Linked DNA regions of Sus scrofa. The protein of the gene in region 2 purifies or fractionates together with the protein of the main gene of each other region. This does not show direct contact. Links are inferred from orthologs where the notes say so. Each region holds a gene or a part of one and is shown on either strand. Other genes may lie near its edges.

Evidence for each region.
Region 1: the proteins of KCNA5 (region 2) and KCNAB2 purify together in Homo sapiens (co-immunoprecipitation; 3 studies listed by BioGRID and IntAct, counting the BioPlex papers as one, with this or other methods). This does not show direct contact. The link is inferred for Sus scrofa from reciprocal best matches to the Homo sapiens genes KCNA5 and KCNAB2.

Annotation. Positions count from the first base shown.
Region 1 is NC_010448.4:66,926,810-66,931,319, forward strand, and holds the start of KCNAB2 (voltage-gated potassium channel subunit beta-2), read left to right. Parts: upstream 1-1,569; 5' UTR 1,570-1,707; intron 1,708-4,510.
Region 2 is NC_010447.5:65,439,344-65,443,605, forward strand, and holds the start of KCNA5 (potassium voltage-gated channel subfamily A member 5), read right to left. Parts: upstream 2,865-4,262; 5' UTR 2,593-2,864; coding exon 790-2,592; 3' UTR 1-789. UniProt on the Homo sapiens protein: Voltage-gated potassium channel that mediates transmembrane potassium transport in excitable membranes. Forms tetrameric potassium-selective channels through which potassium ions pass in accordance with their electrochemical gradient.

The DNA.
Region 1 (4,510 bases), on a different chromosome or scaffold from region 2:
CCGTCCCAGGCGTGAACAAGGTCGGGCGCCCCTGAGACCCGAAAGCTTTGGGGAGCCTCCCTGAGAGTAAGAGGAGGTTGAATTAAGCCCTGCCGAGAATTCCTCATCCAAGGAATATTCTCTTGAGTACCTACCATGAGCCAGGCCCTGGGAAACCTCCTGAACACTGCAGCCCAGCTCCCTGCCCTGGTTTGGTGTATCTGGAGGGAGGCAGAAAGACAGGATACGAGTCAGCACAAGAAGGACATGGTCGTGACCTATGAAAACCACAAGGCGCTGTCGTGGAGACCTGGATTGGAACCCTGGGCGAGTATCCAGCCATCTAAAGCACATCTTTTCCAACCACACAGCCTCGAGAGGCCAGGCTTCCTTCCTGTCCTTCAACCAAAATGACACACTGCCACACTGAAGGCAGGACCAGGTCTGCAAACGCAGTTGTCTTCCATTGAGACAGGCGTGGAAGAGATGTGCAAAGGTGGGGCCTCTGAGTCTTAAAAAGCAAGCAGGAGAGCGACCATTCCGGCCCGGTGAAGGGCCCAGGTGCGGAGCTCAGAGGCGGTCAGGGGATCAGCGGGCTGGACAGCGGAGGGGAAGGCGAGAGCAGCTCCAGGGGGAGGCTATAGGCGGGCAGGGCCTCCTGCGAGGGCCAGAGAAGGCCAGACCTCCAATGGGAGGCGTCGCCGGGACGGATCTTCAGGGCCAGTAGCGGGCAGGCACCCAACCGGGAAAGGCTCCCAGCAGAGACAGGCAAAGCAGGGACCCTCAGCACGGGTCCGGCCGGAGAAAAATGAGGGCCAACGCCGTGATCTCAGCAATCCCAGGCCGGCCACACCGCGCTCGCCTTAAGCTGGAGGGCCGCAAAGGGGGCGCTGAGTCAAGGGGCAGAGTGCAGAGGTTGAACCCCCAAAAGCCCCCTTACCCTTACAGGACCAGCGGCCGAGGCCGCACCAAGTGTCAACGAAGGGGGAGGGGAGGTGTGACCGACGCGGGCATACCCCGCGCCCGCCCGACTGCCGCGCCCTGCAGGTACCAGGCCCCCGCCGAGAGACTCAAGAAGCACCCCAACTCCGGGCTGGAAGCCCCAGCCCGCTTGGCGGCCCAGCGCGCCTCCAGGCCGCGGCCAACCTCCCCCACGGCGCCAGCCGAAGTGGTTTCGCCCGCGGCGGGCGGCGTTACCTAGGAGACGCGCCAGCCGCGGCCGCGCCCGCCCCGGGGCTTCGAGGCCCACGCTTTCGAGGAAATGCACCCCAGATGGATCCAGGGGCCCGGCGGCCGGCCAATGCCCACCAGAGCCGCAGGCCCAGCAGGCAGAAAATCGGCCGAGAAGCGCCCGATCTGCTGCCACTCGCCGGAGGAGCCTTGGAAAGGGAAGGACCCGCCCCCAGTCGCTGTCGTCAGCAGAGCGGTGGGACCAATCAGAGCCCAAATCCAGGGGCTCCGCTCCGCGAGCGCTAGCCAATCAGCGCGGCGGCGGGCTCGTCCTGATTTGCATTGCCCGCGAGCCTTCAGCCAATAGGGGTTTGATTGGCGTGAAGGCTAGCCAATGAGAGCCTCGCAGAGGCGTGGCCCCGGGCGTCCCACGAGGTGAAGATGCTGCGGGCGGAACCTGGTGGAGCAAGCGGGATTCGGGGGCGCTAAAGTCGCAAGGGCAGGGCGGGAAGGAAGATCCGGAACGGGGCAGAGGATCCGGAGCTGGAGCCCCCCCAGGTGAGTGCAGGGGGAGACCCCGGCCTTCCGCGCAATACACGGCAGTGCGCCGGGAGAGCGACGGCGGGCACCCGCGAGGCCCGCGCCGACTCTCCATCTCCTCTTCCCCAGCGCGTCGCCGCTCCCGCCTCCATCCTCACCTCCTCTCCAGCCGGCTCACTTCCCTCTCCATCATCTCCCTTCCCCCATCCCGTCCTCTCTTGCCTGCCCGTTCTGCCAACCCGCCCGACCCTTTAGCTCCATCCCCGACCCCTGCCCCAAACTTCATCCCTCTGGTCCCGTCTCTGCCCCCTCCTCTTACCGCAGCCTCGCCTCCCCCTGCCCCATCCCCCTTCCCGTCTCCTCTCCCGGTTCTGCGCATCCCCATCGGAGGGCTCTTGGTCCAAGTCCTCCGCATCTCTCCTCTCCTTGTTGCTCCTGAAGGCTCACGCTGCCTCTCCTTCCAGGTTCCTGGCACCATCTTCCCACCCATTCCGTGCCCAGTCTGTAGGTCTTCCCCCGTGGGCGCCCTCTTCCCACCTTGCCCTGCTCTCCAAGACCTTGGCGCTCCCTTCCTGCACCAGTTCGTCTGGCTGCCTATACACCCGTCCCCACCCTGGTCCCTATGCCCCTACCCCATCTTCAGCTTCTTTGCTCCCCACATTCCCTACCTGCTCCTGCTCCTGCTCCCGCAGGACGAAGGTCGCAGGACACAGAGACCCAGCTGCTGCAGGGCTTCCTGCTGCAGTAGCTGTAGTGTACCTGTCCACCTTCCCACCCTCCCATCCAGGCAGCCTACCCCAGCTCTGCTCTTCTTGGCATTTGTCCTGAGGGCTCCTGTAGGGTCTGCAGTCTGTCTAGAGCATCTTGGGGGGGCTCCAGGTGGAAAGTCCCTTAGCACCCTTCCCTACTTTCCCCCCCCTGTCCACCGTCTCCCTCCCCACCCAACCCCCACTTTCCTGCTCAGCCTCACTTTGTGATTCAGCGTTTTTGGGGCTGGTAACTCTCTTTACCTCCTGGCAGGATAAGGACCTGGTTGTCAGGCTGAAGGCAGGAGGTCTTGACCCTGCATTTAGAGGGGCCACATTAGCAAACAGTCCTGAACTGCCTGATGGGGACAGGGTTGGGGACCAGGGAACCCACCAGGGGAGGCTGCCTTTTCCTCTCTTTCACTTGTCTGCCCGGGGTTGAAAGACATCCAAGGGAGATGACAGAAGTAATAGCTCTTGGGGAAATGGGCTCTTAGCATTTATGGAAATTAATACATCCACGTCTGAGGAGCCAGAACACCAAGTTCAGGCCACAGCTGTCTGTCGTGTCAGGATTTCTTCTTTCTCTGCAACTTCTCCTCCCCCTCAAAAAACGCCATCCGCCTTGCAATGCCAAGAGCAAGCTCCTGCTCTGCTAGCCACACCGCATTCAGGCCCCATGCTGCTGCAGGGTTTGGACACCCGCGTGAGGGCCATTGCATCTACCCTCCAGATTGCCGCTTGGCATTTGCATCTACCTGCAGAGCCCAGGCTGCTGTGCAGTTCCTGGGCTCCTGTCCCTGTGCTGCCACAGGGGGCCCAGAGGGCATTGGCCCCCGGGTCCCGTCCGTCAGGAACGCTCTCCAAGCCCACACCGGGCCTCAATGACGCTGAGGGTGTTTGGGTTGCAGCACCTTCCTGCCTCGAAAGCAGCCTGCTGGAGGCTTCCCATGACAAAGCCCAGGGCTCTGTGCCTCTCACGGCTGCGCCTGTCGACAGACACGGGGCACGGCTTGATGCCAGGGCACCAGGGAGGGGGGCAAAGGGTCATGCACAGTGTGAAACCCAGTCTTGTGGCTGGATGGTTATGAGTAGGCAGAAAGCGGTTGGCACACAGGAGGCATGACAAGACGGCCACCACTCCTTGTCCTGTGAGGGTCACTGGGGCTCATGGGATGAGCAAGCTCTAGGGTGGGGTAGACCCAGAGACGTCACACCATGGGCTGGCCTTCTTTCCTCCTTCATGATCGGCTAAACCCCAAATGATTCAGGAGGAAGTGAGTGGCACAAGTTTTGGTGGCAGTTTCCGGTGAGGGAGGGGGCCTCCTCTCAACTTTCCTGTTTGTTGGTGCTGGGTCCATGGCAACTGGGCAGCACCGCGTGTGGCAAAGGAGAGTGGGCGAAGGAAGGCCTCTGGGCTGCTAGAACCCGGGGGAGTGTCTTTGGATTCCCAGGACTCCGGATGGAAGGAGCGTGTGTGTTTAGTCCTTGACTAAACTCTCCATGACCTTGAGCAAATACTCCATCGCCAAAGGTCCCGGAGCCAGAGCAGTTTCCTCGAGTCCCTGAATAAACGGGCAGAAGAGTGGCACTTCAGGCCACATTCAGGGAGGACCAGCTCTGAAGGTGTCCCGGACCAGAGACCCCACCCCTCCCTCCAGCCCTCCCAGCAGCCAGGGGTCCCAGCAAACATGCATGTGCTGCAGGGGTCTTGGGCGTGTCCCCTTTTGGAGGAGTTAACAGAAGCCAGAGGCCCTGGCTTCTCCAAGGTCGCTCAGAGGTGGGCTGGGTCGGGCCCCATACCTGCCGCCAGACTGAGGCAGGCCCCTTCACTCGTTCTTCCTCTCGGAGTAAAACGACACCCCATGGACCCGCCGACCCCCTGCCCAGCCACCCTTTGGCAAGCAGTTGTGAGGCGGTGCTGACATGGGTGGAGGAAACAGCACCCTGAGTCACTGGGGCCGACAGGAGCAGGAGATGCCACCAACCACAGAGAAGTCTGGGCGGCCCTATCCTGCCCCCCCCCCCCCGGCAGGTCCCCAGAGCAAGGGCCCTGTGGTTCCCAAGATGTCATC
Region 2 (4,262 bases):
AACATTTTATTTCCTGGGATAAAAATCAAGAGAATGAATTATCAGAAGTCTTCCTCCAACATCGATGCTTTTTGAAGAAAGTTACAAGAACTGGTTAAGGCGCACAGAAAAAGTTAGACTTGCTTTCTTCCAGAGCATTCTCTGCCCTAGACACAAAGCACCGAAATCACAACTCAGAAAAGAGAGAGGCTTGCAGATAACAGGAACCAGAACAGCCAGACCAGGGTCTCGGACTGTAATAGAAATATCACAGGAGAATGTTGCCATAACCTCCTCTTTCATAAATACAATGTATGTCTTGAAAATATATCCAAAATCTCTCCATCTGAACTACAGTACAAAAATCCACTCGCCAGCCATAAAAATAATATTTTCTCATGTACACAAATATAATTATATGTAAAGCAAATTTGGAACACAGGGATGGGGGGAGATTACCAATTCTCTGGGGATTGGGCTATTTAAAGCCATTTTTGTTTGGGTTATCCCTCTGCTGGGTCTAGGAAACTGGCTACAAATACATCCATCTCACAGTGCTCACCATTTCAACAGCTCCTGCGTCATGGAATGTGGTACTTTTTAAAAATAGGTGACCCTGGGTGTCATGGAAAGAAGAGGAAAGAAAAACTAGGGGATCAAGGAGACGCAGGAGGGGAGCAGTGAAAGAAGAAGGGGCGGACCTAGGTTACAGGGTGGGCTAGAAATACTCTTCGCCATGAAGTAGATCCCCAAGGTCAGGAGGCCCCCCGCTGTCCCCAGCTCTCTGCCAACTATCCACCTGCATCCCCCTTACAAATCTGTTTCCCGGCTGCTATCCAGGCAGAGGGCATACAGAGATCTCCGCAAGTCCACATTGCTCTTGGCCTTGAGGTTACACTTCTCTAAGGGGCAACTGCCCCTCCGGGATCCATCTGCATTATCCAGGGCCCCCACAGCCTTGCAGAGGGACCCCTTGCTCCAGCTGGCCTTCCGCTGGCCACCGCTGGCCAGTCCTGTCCCCTGGCTCTGGCTGCCCTGCTCTTCCTTAAGGGCTGCCTGCTCCTCGTGGTCCGTCTCCCTGTGGTAGAAGTAGTTGAAGTTGGAGACAATGACGGGTACAGGCAGGGCGATGGTGAGGACCCCAGCGATGGCACACAGAGAGCCCACGATCTTGCCCCCCACGGTGACGGGCCTCATGTCCCCATAGCCCACCGTGGTCATGGTAACCACGGCCCACCAGAAGCCATCCGGGATGCTGGAGAAGTGGGTCTCTTGGTTGTCGGCCTCGGCGAAGTAGACGGCGCTGGAGAAGAGGATGACGCCGATGAAGAGGAAGAAGATGAGCAGGCCCAGCTCCCGCATGGAGGCCTGCAGGGTCTTGCCCAGGATCTGCAGCCCCTTGGAGTGGCGGGAGAGCTTGAAGATGCGGAACACGCGGACCAGGCGGATCACTCGGAGGATGGCCAGCGACATGGCCTGCTGCCCGTTCTGGCCGCCCCCTCCCCCACCCCCTGGCTGCTGTTCCACCAGCTCGGTGCCCAGGGTGATGAAGTAGGGGAAGATGGCCACCACGTCGATGATGTTCATGATGTTCCGGGAAAACTCAGCCTTGCTGGGACAGGCGAAGAAGCGCACCAGAAGCTCGAAGGTGAACCAGACGACACACGTGGTCTCCACGATGAAGAAGGGGTCCGCCAGGGTCCTGGGCAGGAGAGGCGCCACTGTGGGACCTGAGGGAGGCGGCGCCGCCGCTGCCCCGCTGCCATTGGCCCCTGGGGCGGGTCCAGGGGGCTGGTGGTGCACCGGGGGATGGCGCAGCAGCTCGCGTTCATCCCTGAACTCAGGCAGGGTCTCCAAGCAGAAGGTGATGATGGAGATGAGGATGACAAGGACTGAGACGATGGCGATGGCCCTCGCGGAGCCCGAGCTCTCCGGGTACTCGAAGATCAGCCACACCTGGCGCTGGAACTCGTTGCGGGGCAGGGGCTTCTCCTCCTCCTTGATGAAGCCCTCGTCCTCCCGGAAGCGCTCCATGGCCTCGTCCCCCAGCTGGTAGAAGCGGATCTCATCCGCGAACACGTCCAGGGAGACGTTGACCGGCCTCCGCAGCCGGCCCCCGGACTGGTAGTAGTAGAGGATGCCATCGAAGCTGGGCCGGTTGCGGTCGAAGAAGTACTCGTTCCTCAGGGGGTCGAAGTAGCGCAGGCGCTTGGCGGGGTCCCCCAGGAGCGTGTTGGGGAATTGCGCCAGGGTGCCTAGCTGCGTCTCAAAGCGCAGCCCCGAGATATTGATGAGGACGCGCTGGTGATGGAGGGAGCCCGCGCCCAGCACCTGGTCCTCCGCCACGCCCAGGGCGGGGTCGCCATCTCCCTCCTCTTCCTCCGGAGGCAGCCACCTCGACTGCGGCAGCTCCTGGGGCGGCGGCGGCACCGGCCGGCCTCCCGGATCCGCGCGCCTCTCTGCTCCGCGGCCCCTTGGCTCCCGCTCCTTGGGTCCATCTCCGAGCGCAGCCGTCGGGGGGCAGCGGAGCTCTCCCCCTGCGGTGCCGGCCTCCCCTCCTTCCTTGACGATCATGGCACCGCCATTCTCCAGGGGCACCAGGGCGATCTCCATGGTCCGGGAGCGGGGGGCATGCTGCGCCCCTGCGGACTGACTCCCGCGCCCCCCTCACACCCTGCTGGGCGACCCGCGCCTGACGCCTCTTCTGCTGGCCGCCGGCACGGCTGTGGGGCGGGCTGGAGTGGCTGGCCGGGTCCCCTCGCTCGGTCCTGACGTCAAGAAGCCGCTGCCCTGCCCTCTGCCTCTCTGGGTTCTGGCAGCCCGTTACCAAGCAGCCAAAAGCCGCCTTCCAGCAGATGCAACCTCCAGCCGCCCGGCGCGGCCTCCGCCCCGCGCGGCTCCCCGCCCCCTGTCGTCCTCTCCTTCCCCCGCCTCCCCTCCGGGCTCAGAGGCAGCGGGAGTCTCCCCGGAGGGCGCAGCTGGGGCCCGAGCGAGGAGGGAGGGGCTGAGCGGGGCTCCGCCGGCGGTGGGAGGAAGGAAGGGAGGGAGAGAGGGAGTGGGGAGGATGGAGGAACAGGTTGTACCGAGAGCGCTGAAACTCCAAGGGCAACCAGATGAGAATAGCTCTGGATTTCAGTTCACCTGGGAAGCCCGCTGAGCGCCGATGGGCTCAGGGGGAAATGAATTGCCCTTGGAGGGATGATTTTGAGATGAGAGGGAGTATGAGAGAAGGCAGTGCTTTTTACGTTTCTCCCTTGGAGGAATAAAGGGTCTCTCTTCTTTGGGCAGAATTACAAACAGGAGGGGGCAGGATAGTTATGGACCTTGGGAAAAAAAAATGTATATATATATGTCTGTATCTCCAGATTGAAGGTGAAGCATCTCTTTTCCCATCTCCCTGCATACATTGGTACCAAAAGGTAACTGAGGGAAAATTTAGTGTGTCCTGCCGCTTAGTAAAGCCCCCATTCCCAGTGCAGACAGCGGTGGTCAGAGGGCAGATGCCACCCAGCAGCCCTAGGCAGCCAGCTGGGTCTGGGAGATTCGCTGCCCTGACGCTCACAACCTCGCTGCTCTCCCCACAAAGCCATTAGCAGAAACCATGAGCAGGGAAGGGGAGGAGGGAGAGAGAGAAGCTGGTGAGAGTGGTTTCTGCCTGGTGAAGCTGGGAGCCGGAACCAAAAGCACATCTGTGTAGGGAGTTGGGGTGGGGGCTCTTCAGGAGAGGGAGCCCCGGAGCTTGTGGAGTGCCCGGGGCTGGAGAATTCTCAGCAGTAGAATAACAATCCATACATACTTGGCTCTTTTGTTGTGTCAGGTCCATTTTCAGCACTTTACAAATATTGACTGGCCTATTCCCTTGGCAACCCATTTTCTCAGCAATGTTATTATCTCCACTTTTTAGAGACAAGGAAAATGAGACACAGAGAGATGGACTAACTTGCCTAAAGTCACACAGTTAGAACACGGTAAAAGCTGGGATTTAAACCCAAGCAAGCAGAGTTCAGGACCCTGTTCCTGTCCCTGTGCTCCTCTCTAGAAATGAGTCACCCCCTTTCAGATATAAGGGTAAAAGAGTTCCTGCTCCCCAACATCTGGGCTGACAGTTTTCGTTCCTCCTGCGGGAGGCAGGAGGGTGGCTAAGAGGACAGCTGAGTGCTTCTGGGTTAGAGAGCCAGGCTATCCGGCTCGCCCTAGCCCTGCTGGGTTTTAGCGAGGAGCATCCGTCCAGAGAGAAATATGCTTCAAGGCAAGTCTGGCCCATCCTGGCACAGCTTCCAGAC